3 linked regions of the Saccharomyces cerevisiae S288C genome follow. The gene in region 3 interacts genetically with the main gene of each other region. Each region holds a gene or a part of one and is shown on either strand. Other genes may lie near its edges.

Region 1 (8,350 bases), on a different chromosome or scaffold from region 3:
AATACATGGAACGTGTCACTATTCGGTACCCAACCCAGTAACCCAGACTTCGGAGATAATGGGATTGCTGGATATTGCTGGATATCTAGATGCCTTCTAAAGCACTCAGCGTCATTTTGCAAAAGCGTGTTAACTAGTCCGAATAATTGCATGACCAAGCTATCCTGTCTAATGTCTTCATGTCCTTTCAACACATACTTATAATCTTTACCATCACTACCCTTGATACAAAACTTTCTCGGTCTTTGTTTGGATGAGATTACTGAAAATACTGGCTCGAATTTAGATATTTTAACAATTGGTTTTCCACCACTTGCACGGGTCCCGGGGACAGCCAATTCCAAATCATGCGCAGATAGTAGTTTTGGCGACACATGTTGTAGTTCAAGAGTTTGTAATTGTGGCAACTGTTTACCAATTTTCCTGAAAACATTATAGTAAATGTCCCACGCTTGGTTTAAATTACTAACATCTTTAGATTTTTTGTAATTCATCAGCCATTCGTAAGCGTCATTCAAGTCCCTACCAAAAGAATTTTGGAACGATATTTCCCTCAAAGTTTCCGGTCCTCTCTTCAGCATTTCGTACAGAGGCTCTAAAGCAGCAAACATTTTTTCGGTATTATGTTCTCCAAAAAACTGCCTACTGGCGTCATCCAGACCCTCATACCATTGCTCATGCCAAAGCACCGCCATACGTATCAATTCGTGGCTGACAAGTTCAGCCTGGTCGACCAAAACTGGACTATGTATTCTCATCTTTTCTATGATGGACAAAGCTGCTTTCTGTCGTGAGAGAGATTCGGATTTAATCGCAACCATTAAGGGGTACACTAATGCCTGCGGATGAGCCTTACCTAGATCAGATAATAGGGAGAGTAATGACCTACTAACAATTTGATTGGGTTGATGAATTCTAGAAATTAACTGTGGCAACACTTCTAACCATGTGCCTATTTGGATTAGGTTGAAACCCTCGTGCATAGCTTGGGTTGCTTCTGGAATACCACCAAAAGTAAACCATAAAGTTAATAACCTTAATGCATCTTGAAGAGAGCTTGATTCTGATAAAGAAATGGAATGAAAAAAACCCTTAATTGCTGGAATTACGTGCCTGTGTATTAAATTAGAAGAGTAATGAACTTCCTTAGCATCAAATGTATTGACGCCGATCATGCCATTATCAAACTCATTAATATCAGTTACCGAGGAAGCATCACTTCCTTCCTGTTTCTTTTTAGAGACAGATGTTAGCATAGAAATGACTTCAAAATTGGCCAGTGCCCAGTTATGCCACGCTTTGTACCATGTGTTGTCAAAATGTGTAGCGAGCAAATAGGAGCCTAGGATCGAATCTGGATTGCTCAATCTCCATTTAGGCTGTAAGCAAACTCTCCATTCTCCTTGCTTCAAGAAACAACGAGCTAAAAGCTTAGTATAATCTTCAACGTGACGAGGGACTCTTTTGCTTTGTTGAGGAACGCTTTGAGCTATCATATTATTTGGATCCAAACCTAAATCATGAGCCATTCTAGATGTGAAATTAATTAATTGCTTCAAAGCCTCATCTTGCAACCCCGTAGCCCACAAGTACTTCAGTTGTGCATAAACAACTGGAGGGGATGCCTTAGCAGTATTAGGATGATCTGGGTCATCTGTTTCTTCAAGCAATGTATTTAAGACTTTTTTAGCTAGCGCCATCCTACCCGATTTTCTGCATAAGTTGGCAAACTTAATCCTCACTTGAGCATCCTCCTTTGGCTTTATCACCAATGATCTGACACGCAGAATTCTTTGCCACACATCAATATTTTTTTGACAGCCCAGTAATCTGGTATTCCAAGTTTCTCTCATAGTTAGACGTTTATCTGAATTTTGTGGCAACTTCTTATATTTGATGATTTCCTCCAACTCTGCTATAATCTGCGCTCTAACAACAACATTATATGCTCTATTGTAGCTTTCATTAACAAGAGCTGACAATTCAGTAACTAGAAGATCCCTTGCATTAAAGATGTGAACTTCCGCCTTCTTAAAATTATTCCTATGCAAACATAAAATTGCATCATAGAATTCTTTATCTGGAGACTGCGATTTCATGACGCTAGTATACTGGGCTATTTCATCCCATTGCTCCAAACCCCAGGCAGCGCCGGCAGCCAAAGGCGCCATTGCCTTCTTCACTTCGGGTTTTGCCGTGCCCCACTTTTCAGATGCCAATTTAGAAAGCTCTTCCCACTCTCCAAGGGCATATAACGATCTTAATTTTCCCATCATCACTTCAACCGAATCTTCTCCTGCTGCCTCCTTCTCATTATATGCTGCAAGAGCATCCTCCCAACGTTGAAGTTTTTCATACCAAGTTTCCTTCAGCTGCAATTCATTGTGTTGTTGCGCATGCTTCAAAATACCAATAGCAGAATCAGTTTGGTGAAGTTGATTATTAATGCTAATCAATGCCTCGATTGTTGAATTTTTCGGCTCTTCTAAGAATTCTACCTCTTTGTAATGTAGTGCCTTCGCAAAAGCATGACATTTTTGGGCATACTTACCTAATGTATGGATTGGGATAGGCAATGGTTTGTCATCGTGCTCCATAAATTCCACTAAATTTAACAACATTTGATAAATCTCGGGTGGGTTTTCAGAGGATGATAAAGCCTTGCATAATGCTTGAATCAAATCCTCTTGGTATGACGTTTGAAGCTCAACCCAGCAACTTGAGAATGAAGCATTAAACAATTCTCTCGCCAACGGATAATAAACGCTGACTAAACTCGAACAGGATCGTAGACAAGCTGAAGGTGATTCCTTTAGAAGCTGAATAGATAGCCTTCTTATCCATTCTTGCCAATCTTCTTTGGTCTTCTGTTGAGAACAATACCATGCATTCTTTAGGATATTTTGGTTTACCGGTAATTTCGTTACTTGCATTTCGTCTTCATAATTTTTCCTTTCAGGTACTTCGTTCTCCTTGTCAAATATGATATTTGTTGGCAAGCATTCATTGTTCAGTAATTTATTAACCAGTTGATCGTACACTGAATGCTGAATCCTATTCCTCAATAACGCCTTGTTAATCACTGGCACAAAGACCACAAAGTCGGTACCTAGTTGTAAAAGGAGCAAACTTAGCGTATTCATGGTTGCTTTTGTTAGTTCTCTATCCCCATTATTCAAAATTCTTACCAACGCCTGAACAATTCTTGATGACATTTCAGAGAGGTTGATATTCTTTGCTAATCTACCCAAAGTTATAATGGAGATTTTCTTTAGACTTCCAGCAGAATACTCAGTCATTCTAACAACGATAGGCATAATCAAATGGGAATAGTCTTCTAGATTCGGCCCAAAAGTAACCAAAGATTTTAATATACGAATCGGAACGATCCTTTTATTAGACTGGTCGTTCTCAAGAATATCAAGGAAAAAGGTTAGAGTCTCGGGAACAAATCTTTTAAACTCACCTTCCAGAGCCTTAGATATCGATTCTATGACAGAAATAATTGTGATTTGTAGTTTAATGATCGGGAAAAACTCCCTGATCACACCATAAATTTTCTCGACATGGGGCCTAATATGTTGCTTGACAATTGAGATGAGAGATCCCAGTTGCTGAAAATAAAAGTCAAGTTGGGACGGCGGGCATGAACGCATGACTAAAATGATACCTGGAATAATTTGATCCAAAAAGGAGACACATCGTAAACCAAGGTTTTGAAAAATATGCATAATAGCTTGAATAGCAGCCGTGTGATGGATTGACAACGATGGATCATTCAATATCTTCATCAGATTGTGGATAACTACAGTGGGGTAATATTCATCGTTGGATGGAGATACCCCTTGCATTAGCAATGCGATGTCGATTGAAGGAGCATTTTGCTCTACTGAACTCTTTGAGTTTGATGTGACTTCTATTTCTCTGTGCTTATATGGATCAAGAGCGCCTAATATACCAATCAAACGAACAGTTCCACGCCTGATATGAGGGTTGTTTTCAGTCTTAAGAATATTTATCAAAATGCCAAGTAACTCTGGGTAGTCTAGTAAAGGGCCAACAACATAACCAGAGGAAGCAGCCAGCTGTCCTAATGTTGTTAAGGCGGCATCTCTTTTAAAAGAGTTTGATTGGTCCTGAAATGTGTTAATGATCAATGGCATCAATTCCTTTAAGTAACGCGTCATTTCTTTTCCTCCAACAACAGATAGTTCACCCAAAACCTTTAAAGCGGTGGATGCTACGGCAGATGAAGCATCCTGGCATTTAGGAAGAATGACGTCTAGAATAGGATCAATATAAGGTTTCGCTACTTCATCGCTGGAATTTATCAGCGTACATAATAGAGTTGCACTTTCCTCCTTTTTTTTTGGCATATTTGAGAACTTCAATTGCGTTAATAGTTCCAGTAAAGTTTTCCTCAAAGAAGGAACTACATAAGCGGGGTTGACAGAACTCAATCTGCCTATTATTTTGATAGCTTCCAATTGAATACCAAAAATCTCATCGTTCAGCGCCATGAAAAGTAGGCGTAAATTGTCTGGTTGGGCCAATTGAGGATCAAAATTTGACCCCAAATGCTGAAGAATTTCCAATCTAATTTCTGCAACCGGATCAGTTATTGCGATCATTAATAGCTTACTTAGCACTTCAGAAACCGAGTGTAAAGCATGAACTGATGTTTGTTTACATATATCGTCTTTGATAAATAAATCACACGACGTTAATGCTGCCAATTTTCTGACAGACGAATCCTCATGCTCAATGTAAGAAATGGTTATAAGCCTAACAAACTCCGTCAAGGAATATTGATGATGAATTAGTTGCAGCATTTTAAAACACTGAATCAAAATTTGGGCATCTGTAATATCGTCATTAGATTCACCAGTTTTTTTCATGAAACTTTGGTTTCTTGATTTACGAGCCTTTTCAATGGAAAATTGATTATTAAAATCGTATTGGTTTGATTGAATAAATTTTTCACCAGATAAGGATATCGACAGTAAATTTAGTATCCTCGAATTAACGGTAGATTCCAAAGAGGGTATTTTCTCGTTAAGGATCATTAAAGTCTCCTGCATATGGTCGGACATTGGACAGTTTAACATCAAATTAAGAAGATCTTTGTTCAAGTGCTTAGCAAAAGCTGGGCCCAAAGCACAAGCTAATTTACCAATGCAATAAAATAAATCCTTCTCGAATTGTTTTCTAACTTTGAATTTCGTTCTTAAGCCTTCCCTAATATTATCCAGAATAAGTGTCATATAGGGTGAAATGCTCGAACCAACTTCAAATGCAATATCACCTATAGAAACTAATATAAAAGGTTTATCCGAATTATTTGCAGCATTCATATCGATGTTCTTCAAATATCTTAAATAATGAACCATTATCCTATCGAGATATTTCTTTGTGAAAATGGCAGGGTCAAAAGCAGCTAAAAGAGGTAAAATAGCATAAACTTCTCTCCTTATAACATCAAATTTATATTCCTTGTACTTCATAGTAGATTTGTAAATATCATCATATTTATCCCTGAGATAAGGTGCTTTCAAGCTGAGTAATTCTCGAAATACCAACAGAGTAGCATGCACTGAATCATTCGTATTGAGACTTAAGCCATGTGTACAACCTTGAAATAATCTTTGAAACCACTGTTTTCCCAAAGCAGGGTCTCTATCCTGAATAATAGTAAGACATTTACCCAATGCCACTGCGGCATCTAATCGTATAATTAACTTTGCATCCCTTAATGGCACCCAAATATTGTCTAAGATAGAGTTAACGTAAGGGTATAAAAGATAGGGTGAATTGTCTGCTAATGCCTTTATGATTAATAGCGCAGCATGTCTCCTGTATTCCAACTTAGAGCTCGATGAGTTATTATCTGCTGTCAGAGTAAGCCAATCAATGCAAGTTCTGACCTCAAATTCGACGAAATCTGATGTTAATGTACCACCTGGCACGGTCAATCTACCTAAGGTGTTAGCCGCTAATCTCATAACTTCAATGTCACTGGATGGAATTAAAACACGTAAATAGTTCGCCAGTCTTGAAGTTTGGTTTGGCAGCTCCTCTGTACTCAGGTAGAATGAGATCAGAGTATCAACAGCAAGAATACCACCTATCTTCTCACTTGAAGTAAACCCGTGAATAAGTTCAAATATCTTATTGTTTAAACTGTTGCTAAACCTTTGAAATTGCTCAGCAGATACTTCCCTTGCTAATGAGGTCAAAGTAGTGCTTAATTCATTAGCGCCAGAGGCTCGTTCTTGTGGCACATCGCTTTTAAGTTTATCAAAAATCAAATTTAAAGTAGAAAATGTTGTATCTAGTTCTGAATCTACAAAGGATATTTTACCAATATGACCAGCAGAACCAGTGATCACTCTACCAGAGTCATTGGGCCCATTGTGATTGGAATCTGTGTTTGAAGTAGTTGACATCTCATCATCGTGGGAGTGCGATTTGTGTGTAAGTTTCTTTCTTGTTCTGTGTTTGCCTTCGGCCCTTTGTCGTAAAGACAATAAGTTAGGTGGCGTGGTGTATTTGTTAATGTATTTATTCATTTTTCATATGGGGAAAGTAAAGATCAGAAATCTCTTTGAGAAAGATAACTATTTGATCTTAATGACTATGCTCTTTATGCACCCGGTATATTTTCCCTTTCTACTGCTCCTAATCTACCTGTAAATAAATACAAGTAAAGCTCAGTTAAGGAAGTGATTGGTGTCACGATGATAAAAATTGGTCTTTCCTACTGTCATTACATTTCTTCCAATTTTAATTGCTGCCATATATGTCAGTCTCTATTCAAACATATTCAGTGCTTAAAAAGGAATATCCGGGTAAATATTCTGACATCGCCCAAGAAATATACGATATAACTTAAAGAAAAGAGTTGTAGTAAGCTAATAGCATTAAGATTAAATGTATGTTTGATTAATTGCAATATCATGATGTTATAGAGTAACGTGGTATAATTACCACGATTCCGTCGAATTGTTTGCCACTTATCACTGGCGCCAAAATGCAGCAGTATGTAAAAAATGACGGTAATAAATATATAATACAAATGCATAGAGGAAAGGCTATAGAAATGAAGAGATTCATGAATTTTCAGTCAGGTTCTCCGACTTTTAATTGCTGTGCCCCTCCTCCTGCTTCTTTTTTTCCTCTTCTTCGTTCTTCTTCTTTTCTTCCTCTTCCTGCTTCTTCTTTTCTTCATCTTCATTCTTCTTGTTTTTCTCTTCCTGCTTCTTTTTTTCCTCTTCTTCGTTCTTCTTCTTTTCTTCATCTTCATTCTTCTTATTTTCTTCATCTTCATTCTTCATCTTTTCTCCTTCTTCCTGCTTCTTCTTCTCTTCTTCTTCCTTCTTCTTTTTCTCCTCTTCCTCCTGCTTCTTCTTTTCTTCTTCTTCCTTCTTTTTCTTCTCTTCTTCTTCCTTCTTTTTCTTCTCTTCCTCTTCCTTCTTTTTCTTTTCTTCTTCTTCCTTCTTCTTCTTTTCCTCTTCTTCCTTCTTCTTCTTCTCCTCTTCCTCCTTCTTCTTCTTCTCCCTCCGCTTTCTTTCTTCAAGTAACTTGGCATAAGCATAGTCCTCGTATACAATAATAGGGTCCTTATCAAACATTTGAATACCCTTTCTGTTAACGTCGGATAAAGTTGGCGCAAAAAGGTCTAAACCATATGAATTTAAATCCAAAAAGGAGTTGCTACTAAAGTTTAAATTTGATTTAAAATCCACAGGATTTACTTCAACAGTATTAGCAGGAGTATAATCTTCTGTGTTATCATCTAGAGTTGTTCCAGTTTCATCAAAAGTAATGTTGAAAAGTGAAAAATTCCTGTATTTCAAACTTTCGGACAGATCAATAATTTTTCCGACATATTCTTCATGAACAATCTTGGTAACTTGATCTAATGTAGTCTGGTTCATAGATTTTGATAAATCCTTCCACATAGCTTTTTCATAACCAAAAAGAAATGGGTCCTTTGCAGGGGAGCTTAACTTAGGAGCAACATTAATGCGCAATTGATGTAATAATTTCTTTTTTTCAATAAATGTCAGGTTTTGGCAGTATTGAATTTCCAATTCCTTTTGCCTATATGCAGTGACATTGAAGGAATTGTACAAGTTAGTAAATACCTCGATAAAGCCAGCTTTTGGAATATTTTTATAAATTAAGCGAACATCATCCATGGATAGGTTTTTGAAAGAGTATTCAGAGACTTTGTTGGAATCAAAAAGTTTCGACTCAAATTTCGTAGACGATATTTCTTTCAAGAGGTTCGGATTCCATGAATTAATACTGGGGATGTTTGGATACCATGAATTAATATTACTGCATT
Region 2 (4,865 bases), on a different chromosome or scaffold from region 3:
TGCCGAATTTTAAATTTTCGTATAATGTCTTAGCGAACTGGATCTTGCGATCGTTTTTGAAAGACGAAGTCAGGATGCTATACCAGGAATCATCATCACTGTCAAGTTCGTTGTAATTTGGTAGAAGGTAATCAGCGTCCCGCCCAAGTCCGTTACGCTGCGGTGAATTTGACCAGATAAACGTTATAATGATGATCTGCAGTAGAATCAGTGGAAGGAGAATGCGCCTTAATGGGTAGTGCTTGACACGCAGCAGGCCAGATAAGAACCGCCTGTGAAGTTTAGATGATATTCGCTGAAGCATAACTAATTAGTTTATTTGTGTGAAGGAATAGTGACGTTGTGATGCGGTGAGTTCGGCGGTTAGGGGAATGGTATATGATAAAAAACGGAAACGTGCTTCTTTAATTTAATTGTTTAATATTGTTGCAGATATATAAAAAGGGGGAAAGAACCAAAGATGTAATTATTTCTTTATTGCCTCAACCTAAAGCAAGCAATAAGGTATAGAGATCAGGACGTCTCGAGAGCTGATATCAAATTTGAAGCCACGCAAGTAACTACGTAGGTCAGAGGGCACAAGGAATAACACGTGACATTTTTCTTTTTTCTTTTTTTTTTTTTTTTTTTTTTTTGTTAGTCTTGGCTTCTGTGCCGTAGTCTGTATACGGTTTTAGATGCGGTATGTTTATCATCGCCCAGAAATTTGCGGGGTGCAAAGAAATAAAATCCGTGCTGAAACCCGTGCTGAAATCCGTGCACCGCATCAAATTTTCTCGGAGGATTCTTTGCGCCGGTTTTCATTTTCTTCCACGGAATACCAAGCCCATTGCATCGCGATGTTAGTTTAGCGGAGTTTCTTGGCATTGGCAAATCTCTGCTAAATGCTGCGTACAGACGGAAACTCACACCGCCGCGAAGACTGGTCAGTGGCAAAAAAAAAATAAAAATATAGAAAATAACTATTACGTATGTTACTGTTTCTGGTAGTTGATATGAAGTTGGAGTTGTATATTGTACGCTTTAGGAACAGGGAAGTGAATATTATTTACTCTGCTGCACATTCTGGCTAGGTCGAAGCCGGAACTTGAGAAGACGCCGCGCTAGAACTATGGACCAAGCTGTTGACAATGTTCAGATGGTGATGCACTACCCTGTGCGGGGAGTGGCCACGGACGCGAGCGGAAGGTGCGGAAGGTGCGGAAGGTGCGGGAGTTGCGGGAGGTTCTTCGCTAAGCGTGAGGGTTGCTAGCTGGGGCGGCGGGGTTTCCCTAAGTGTAAATAAGGCCTCGGCTGGCACATGAGTCGCCGGAGGAGGCGGCGGAGGCGACGACGCTAAAACCGTGGCCGTTGGGGAAGGATGGGCGGCTATATCTACCATTGACCTGATGGGGACTCGGTTCTTAAGGAATGGGTTTGAGGTGGGTGTGGTTGCAGCAACATCTGTAGCGATATGGAAACCCCGCGGATTCTCGTACGTAGTGGTTTTGATAATAGGTTTCTTACACACATATTTGTCGTTGGCATCAACACAAGTCTCAATTCCTTGGAACCATGGGTCTTCGAAGAGGTCGTCGATGGTGTAGCGGGTGGCGGCTTCTGGGTCAGCGAGCCGCCATGCCACGCGAGATGCATGTCCGTTCTTGAAATTTCTAGCCAAGTGATACTCCATTCCCGGCCCCGGGCGGTAATTGCCGCGATTGCGGAATGCGCGATCGTGAAGACGGATAAAGTTTTCATAAGCGTCACAGTAATCGCGGAAACCAGTGTCGAAGCTGCAGGATTCCAAAAATGGAATGACGTTGTTGACGAGGGTCATGAGGATAATACCCAGGCCATAACAGTCTAGAGCGCGTGGGTCATACGGCTGTTGCAATTCCGTATCGTAGTGCTTCTTGGAGTCGTAGAACATGACCTCCGGGGGAGCATACGGCGGCGAGCCGATCATCCCTGCGCACTTCTTGACAGGGCTGGACAGGTCGTGTGGATCCGTGTGGTACCAGTCTGAGATACCAAAATCTGTCAGCTTGCACACGCCGTCCGGGGATAGCAGTACATTTTCCGGTTTCAAATCACGGTGGGCGATGCCCTGATCGTGGCAAAACTTGACACCACACGCCACCTGTTTGAATATACAAAACTTTTCTGCTAGGGCCACGCTGCGCCAGCCCGATTTTTGTATCATCGCGAACAAATCTCGTAGACCTAGCTCCATGACGAACCCCCACCCGCGAGTGGTGTAGACGGTGGTGGGCACCTTGACTAGAAGGAAAGTATTTGTGATGTGAACATGATGACTTAGCTGCTTTGCGATGATAAACTCCTTTGAGCAGCGCTTGTAGAATTTCTCGGGCGTTTCATTATAGATCATATTGAGCTTCTTTAGAGCAAATACGTCCTTCTTGCGGTACTTGGAGCGGATCTTGCGCACTTCGCACGAACCGCCCCATCCGATGGTCTTATTCTCATCATCAAAGACGAAGTTATCGCTCAACTGGATGCTTGCCTCCTTCATCTCGTCGGGCAGATACTCGTTTGGGTCCACAATTGGGATCGGCAGCATGCGGATTTTGGAATCCCCATCGTGAAGGTAGAAGCCCAGATCAGGGTCTTTCTTCATGGAGGTAGAGACGGACGAGAGTGACGTGCTTGGGGTTGAGACGCCGTATGGATTGTACACTAATCGTTCGCTACTGAACTTGGAGTTTGAGAGATTACGCGAAGTGGACGAATGTCTGTTTCCTCTTGAGATGGACGTGCTGGAGCCGGCCGGAGGTAGGATCTTGGTTGAGGCGGAAGATAAAGATCTCTTGCTGTTGGTTGTGTGAGCGAAAGAGTTTGCACGGCGAGAGGTTTTCAACGAATTCGGCAGTTTTGGGCTGGAGGATTCGCTGTCATTAGTACTTGTAGAGTGGAAGTCTGGAGGTAGAGACGCCTTTTTCTTCAACTTGTTCCCATGGCTTGAACTTAACAGCTTCTTTCCGAAGAACTTAAATGCTGATACCGAGGAGATTGGTTGTTGGGATATCTTCGTAGAATGATTGTGTGAGACTGTCATTGGTTGGTGGTGCGATTTAATGCGTATGCTTGCCTGTGGCGTTAAAATGGTCTATACGTTTATGCTAATATTTCTTGATGTAATGCAGGGCCTATGAATACATGGAGGTTTGTTGCCGGTGGTATACGGTTGAAAAAAAAAAGAAATAGATATATATATATTTCTTCTTTGTATAGACTTCTGCGAGAAAAAGAAAAGATAAGGAAAAATGAAAAAAAAAGCGTATAGGTGCTAAGAAGAATTAAGTATCAAAAGGTAGCAGGCATTTATGTTATATATGCAACTTCGGATTTCGTTCAATACATCTTGACCGGTCTCCACTGTTACTGGCATATTTCTCGGGTTTTTCCTTTTCACCACAAGGGAAAAAAAATGCGTTATGTAATTTCACCAATATTTTTCCCGTCCTGCGTGCTCGCACAATACAATAGGGTCATGTCACGTAATAAGCAACGTGCGCCGCATTTTTTGCCCTTTAAAGGGAAACGCGCTTTGTTCTTTTCTTCTTCCTTTTCACATAAGGGAGAGTCGGCTACCAATGTCGATGGAATTCTCACCATTGGGCATCTCACCGTTCCTATCCTTCTGGAACCTATCGTAAATCCCCCTTAATTTGACCAACTCACTTGTTGAAATACTAGGTTTTGTCTCTTGACAGGCTTCCAATAAATCGTTTATTGTGACCACAGCTGTCAGCTCAGAAGCAGCTGAAGTGCTTGTCTTTGTCTCGTGCACCACATCTTGCTGCAATAGAGTCTTTAGCCGTAGTCTATTTTCTTCTCTACGCCCGTGCTCATTGATACTGAAGTATTCTATATTATCATTGCCGGGTACCACTTCCGATTGGTCTGCAGCAGACAGCCACCTATGTACAGATTTCAAATAAGCATTGTAGCAGAGCCCCTGTAAATCAGCACCCGAAAAACCAGCTGTCTTTTCAGCGATCAACTTCAAGTCTGCATTTTTCTCCAATGCAAATTTTTTTTGTCCCGTATCCTTGTCTTTTGAATTGACGATAGCTTGCAAGATATCTAACCTCTCTGATTCAGTCGGTATATTACAGATCACACTTTTGTCTAATCTTCCCGGTCTTAACAATGCGCTATCAATCAAATCAGGTCTACTTGTAGCTGCTAGTATATATACACCATCAAGGCCCTCGGCACCATCCATTTGGGTCAATAATTGATTGACTACACGGTCTGTGACACCAGTGGAGTCATGCCCTCTCTTTGGCGCAATAGAATCGAACTCGTCAAAAAATAGAATACAGGGTTTGACGGACTGTGCCCTTTCAAACAATTCTCTTATGTTTTGTTCGCTGGCACCTATAAACTTGTTTAAAATCTCTGGTCCCTTAACGGAGATAAAGTTTAACCCACATTGTTGTGCCACGGCGCTCGCCAGAAGCGTTTTACCACAACCAGGATAACCGTAAAGCAAGATTCCTGATCTCAATCTTAGGGGACAATTAACGAAAATAGGCTCATATTTTGTGGGCCACTCTAAGGTTTCTAGAAGGACATCTTTGGCATTTGCTAAAGCACCAATATCCCCCCATTTGATGTTCGTTTCTTTTGTTAGCTTTACTCCACGCAACGCAGATGGTGTAAACGCACTAAGCGACTTCGAAAAAAGTTCCCTTGTTACAACATTATCACAATCTCTTTCCAACTGCAAGTCGTAGAAAATCTTTTCTGTGAATATTTCCAAATCTAGTGGCGAAAATCCTTCTGTCTCCAACGACAAATCACTGAATTGCAAATCTCGATTTAGTTTCATGATCTGGTTTTTCGAGAAAAAATAC
Region 3 (4,047 bases):
GATAGGCAATAAGTCACTTTTACTTTCGATGAGCCTCCGTTGCTGTTCTAGTACGTGAATGTGCAAATTCTGGAATTTCTGTAAAAGTACTGCAACAAACTCATTGTTATTTGAGCACTTCAACGCCTGATAAATGGAAGAGGATGATGATGAGCCTGAATCAAGAACATATTCGTTTATGGGAGTAATTACATTGTCATCCAGATCTTCGAAGAAAACATCTAGGGCTGTCTTTTTGGTGAGCTTCGGTCTTGTATTCAATATATCGTGTATGTTGATCTTTTGCTCTTTATCCTCATTCATTTTCCAACCTTTTGTTTTTCTTGATCTGATATGACAAGAAGAAACATGAGGCGGTGATGAGCCCTTATTGCTATATGCTGTTCGACGCGATGAGATGATTACATGTTTTTTATTAAATTTCTCAAGCAGACTGCGGGTAACCTTGATTTTTAATTATTCAATAGGAATTCTTTTTTTTTTTAGAAAATAAAATGTTCTGCGTAGTGTACTTCTATTTATAAATATAATAATATTATTGATTAATTAGGCATCGCATTTTCAAAAATTTTTAAGAATGCGGGACACCAATTTGAGATTGTTGTGTCAGTAACCATCCAATGTTTAATGGTTTTCACGGCCATATTTTTGTCTTTTTCATTGAAAATCTGGGATAGTACTGTTTTGGTGTGCTCGTTTTGTAAAATCTTGGTAATGTTTGAATCTAATTTTTTCTTGTAAAATTCCAACTCCTTCGAAGAGAGCTTCGAGCCACACACACAGAGGTCGTTGATCTTAGCCACTAATTCTTCTTTACTGCATAATATCGGCTGGAGCTGTCTATCGCCTTGGTCTTTTACGAGCACACCTTCACAGGCAGATTCTTGTTGAGCAGCAGTTACAGATGGCCTCCTCAAAACTGGTGGCGGCGTAGTAGCTGTTTTAGTGTTCCCATAAAGATCTAACACTTCTGTGGCAAGTCTGCCGCTAACACATCTTTTCGATTTCGTTCTTTGTTTAGATTTGGATCTAGGTCCGCTATTAGGGTCGATAGAAAACAAAACTGTCGGACAGTCGTTATAACCAGGCACTTCAGCTTCTAGACAATTCTGAAAACTTTTGGTTGGTTTAATAGCCATCGTACGTAATAGTATGTGCGGAAATAGATTGACGAAGAACCGACAGATGCGCGTCTACTGAAGCTCTTATGAGTAGCCTGTGTGAATAAAGAAGCCAGCTAAAAGTAAATATGTGGCATCTTTATGTCTTACGAGCCGGGTACCAAGCGGCAGCAAAGGGTCCCCCCTAAACGACGTGCTTATCACCCGGCCGTTGTTTACGAAATGGCCTTTTTTGACGTTTTTAGTTTCAATGGATGGATGAAAAAAGCAAGTAAAATGACAAATAAATGCTGTTGGCAGGTTAAATCGTTTAATATACCCATAAGAGAGCTGGAATAGTGTGGAATTGTAATACTTTACATTTGAAAACTGCCCATACACGCACAAATATTGCAGCAATGAGCAACGCTAATCCTTATGAGAATAACAATCCGTACGCTGAAAACTATGAAATGCAAGAGGACTTGAACAATGCTCCTACTGGTCACTCAGATGGTAGCGACGATTTCGTAGCTTTTATGAACAAGATCAACTCAATAAATGCTAACTTGTCCAGGTACGAAAACATTATCAACCAAATTGATGCGCAACACAAAGACCTACTTACTCAAGTGAGTGAGGAACAGGAGATGGAATTGAGACGTTCTTTGGACGATTACATCTCTCAGGCCACAGATTTGCAGTATCAATTGAAAGCGGATATCAAAGATGCCCAGAGAGACGGATTGCACGACTCTAATAAACAGGCACAAGCTGAAAATTGCAGACAGAAATTCTTAAAATTAATTCAAGACTACAGAATTATCGATTCTAACTACAAAGAAGAAAGCAAAGAGCAGGCGAAGAGACAGTACACAATTATCCAACCGGAAGCCACTGACGAAGAAGTGGAAGCCGCCATCAACGATGTCAATGGCCAGCAGATCTTTTCCCAAGCGTTGCTAAACGCCAATAGACGTGGTGAGGCCAAGACAGCATTGGCCGAAGTACAGGCTAGACATCAAGAGTTGTTGAAGTTGGAAAAAACAATGGCTGAACTTACCCAATTGTTCAATGACATGGAAGAGTTGGTCATCGAACAACAAGAAAATGTGGATGTCATTGACAAAAACGTCGAAGACGCTCAGCAAGATGTAGAGCAAGGTGTGGGTCACACCAACAAGGCCGTTAAGAGTGCCAGAAAAGCAAGAAAAAACAAAATAAGATGTTTGATCATCTGCTTTATTATCTTTGCTATTGTTGTTGTCGTTGTGGTTGTTCCATCCGTTGTGGAAACAAGAAAGTAATAGAGCACATGCGCCTCCCTCCCGCCAGCCCCCCAATTCCTATTATGTGTAATCAAACAATTTCTATTAAAACCGAAAACCTAAAAATTGTAACGTCTTTTCTCTTTCCTACTATACCCTCCTCATACCTGCCTTTTTAACAATTAGTATTATAATTTTTTTTTTTCACAAAAAGACAATACCGACTATCTAATAAATAATTTTAATACGTATGTAATTTCGTTAAGAACAAGAATTTTTAAGTAAAAAATCTTACTTTTAAGAAAAACTGTCGCCCTTAATATTAGTCCCAATTTTGTAACGAAAAATAAAATACAAATCGGGGTGGAAAAAGGGAAATTTTACAACATTATTATTCCAAAAACTAGTTTTCAAAAAGTAAATCGTGGGGGTATGAACAACAATTGTTGTAGTCGCAACTACGGTAATTGGTCCTAAAAAATTATTCTCCGGGAAAAAAAGAAGAAACAAAGAGATCCCGAAACATAAGTCCCGTGATTCTTTTTGCCCCCCGCTTTCTTTCGCCAAGAGAAGAGCAATTTATTGAAAGGCTTTTCTTGATGTTTTTGGGTTGTGAAAGCGTTAATAGCGCCAAGTTAGAATAGTAAATATCACAACTACAATATCTACACTTCTCACTTGCGCATTAACCTGCACACGTACTAGACTTTATCTGTCTTGATTGTTACTTCTAGACCAATCAACATTGAAGCGCTCGGCAAATGCTTGACAAGAAAAAAAACTAATTTTCCCTTCGCCTTTTATAGTGCCCATCGGATAGGATATTCCATCTTTGTCTTGCGCCCACTTCGTTGTCGTTACCCGCACGTTGTGTTTTTTGAGGGCTTGAGCAAATTCTTACAGTTAAGGTACAATAGTTGTCTCGAAGAGCAGTACATCAACGGCCTGACGACCTACAGTAGCACTTTCCTTTAAGTGTATATAAACTTTCCTTTTCGGTAAGGGATGCAGGAGAAAGGGCGAGTTTTGTTTATATGCGATCCTTTATGGTAACCTTTGCGGTTAATTCAGCATTATGGTTGCTGATGCACACTTAACGAGGGGAAGAAATATTATGTTACATGCATGAAACGCACTCGGTTTTCTCATGGTCTTTCTTTTTTCGGGATTTCTTTTAATAATATCTTTAAAGTATTACTGGTAGTCGGTCTTTCCCCACACAAAAAAAATTAAAAAAAAAAAAAAAAAAAAGAAACTTTCCGGCGCTCCTTCAGGAGTCTCGTAACTGATGCTTTTTCTCTTCCTAATATTAAGATAAAAAAAAAATTAAACACCGGTAGCAACTTCTCGAGCCATAGGGTCCTGCACACCCTGCCATGTTACCGCACGGACCATTAAGTTACGTGGATGCCGGACTCTCAAGCCATGAAAAGTTTATCTTTATTTAAGTAGAGTTTTTCCTTCTTCTCAAATTTCTGAGAATTTTTATCTTCGATCATTCCCTCTTTTTTTCTTTTTTTCTTTTTTTCTTTTTTTCTTTTTTTTTTCCCTTCTCTTACTTTCTTATTTTTTTTTTTCATTCCTCAGCGGATCCCTTCAATCGTTTATAACATTATTTTCCTTCTCTTTTCTTTCATTGTATCTTCTTGATTTCAACTATTGTTTGTGTGTATATGAAC

What was found. A genetic interaction does not mean that the proteins touch.
Region 1: mutations in SSO2 (region 3) and TOR2 together harm fitness more than expected from each alone (negative genetic interaction), as found in Saccharomyces cerevisiae (2 studies listed by BioGRID).
Region 2: mutations in SSO2 (region 3) and PTK1 together harm fitness more than expected from each alone (negative genetic interaction), as found in Saccharomyces cerevisiae (2 studies listed by BioGRID).

Annotation. Positions count from the first base shown.
Region 1 is NC_001143.9:56,791-65,140, forward strand, and holds the start of TOR2 (phosphatidylinositol kinase-related protein kinase TOR2), read right to left. Parts: upstream 6,570-8,350; coding exon 1-6,569. Other genes in the region: MNN4 (Mnn4p), read right to left, coding at 7,140-8,350. UniProt on the Saccharomyces cerevisiae protein: Phosphatidylinositol 3-kinase homolog, component of both TORC1 and TORC2. TORC1 regulates multiple cellular processes to control cell growth in response to environmental signals. Nutrient limitation and environmental stress signals cause inactivation of TORC1.
Region 2 is NC_001143.9:67,163-72,027, forward strand, and holds PTK1 (putative serine/threonine protein kinase PTK1), read right to left. Parts: upstream 3,059-4,865; coding exon 1,070-3,058; downstream 1-1,069. Other genes in the region: MNN4 (Mnn4p), read right to left, coding at 1-304; PEX1 (AAA family ATPase peroxin 1), read right to left, coding at 3,572-4,865. UniProt on the Saccharomyces cerevisiae protein: Essential determinant for low-affinity spermidine transport.
Region 3 is NC_001145.3:625,281-629,327, reverse strand, and holds SSO2 (syntaxin), read left to right. Parts: upstream 1-1,519; coding exon 1,520-2,407; downstream 2,408-4,047. Other genes in the region: RTP1 (Rtp1p), read right to left, coding at 1-303; ADD37 (Add37p), read right to left, coding at 543-1,139; MIN3 (Min3p), read right to left, coding at 3,431-3,517. UniProt on the Saccharomyces cerevisiae protein: Required for vesicle fusion with the plasma membrane.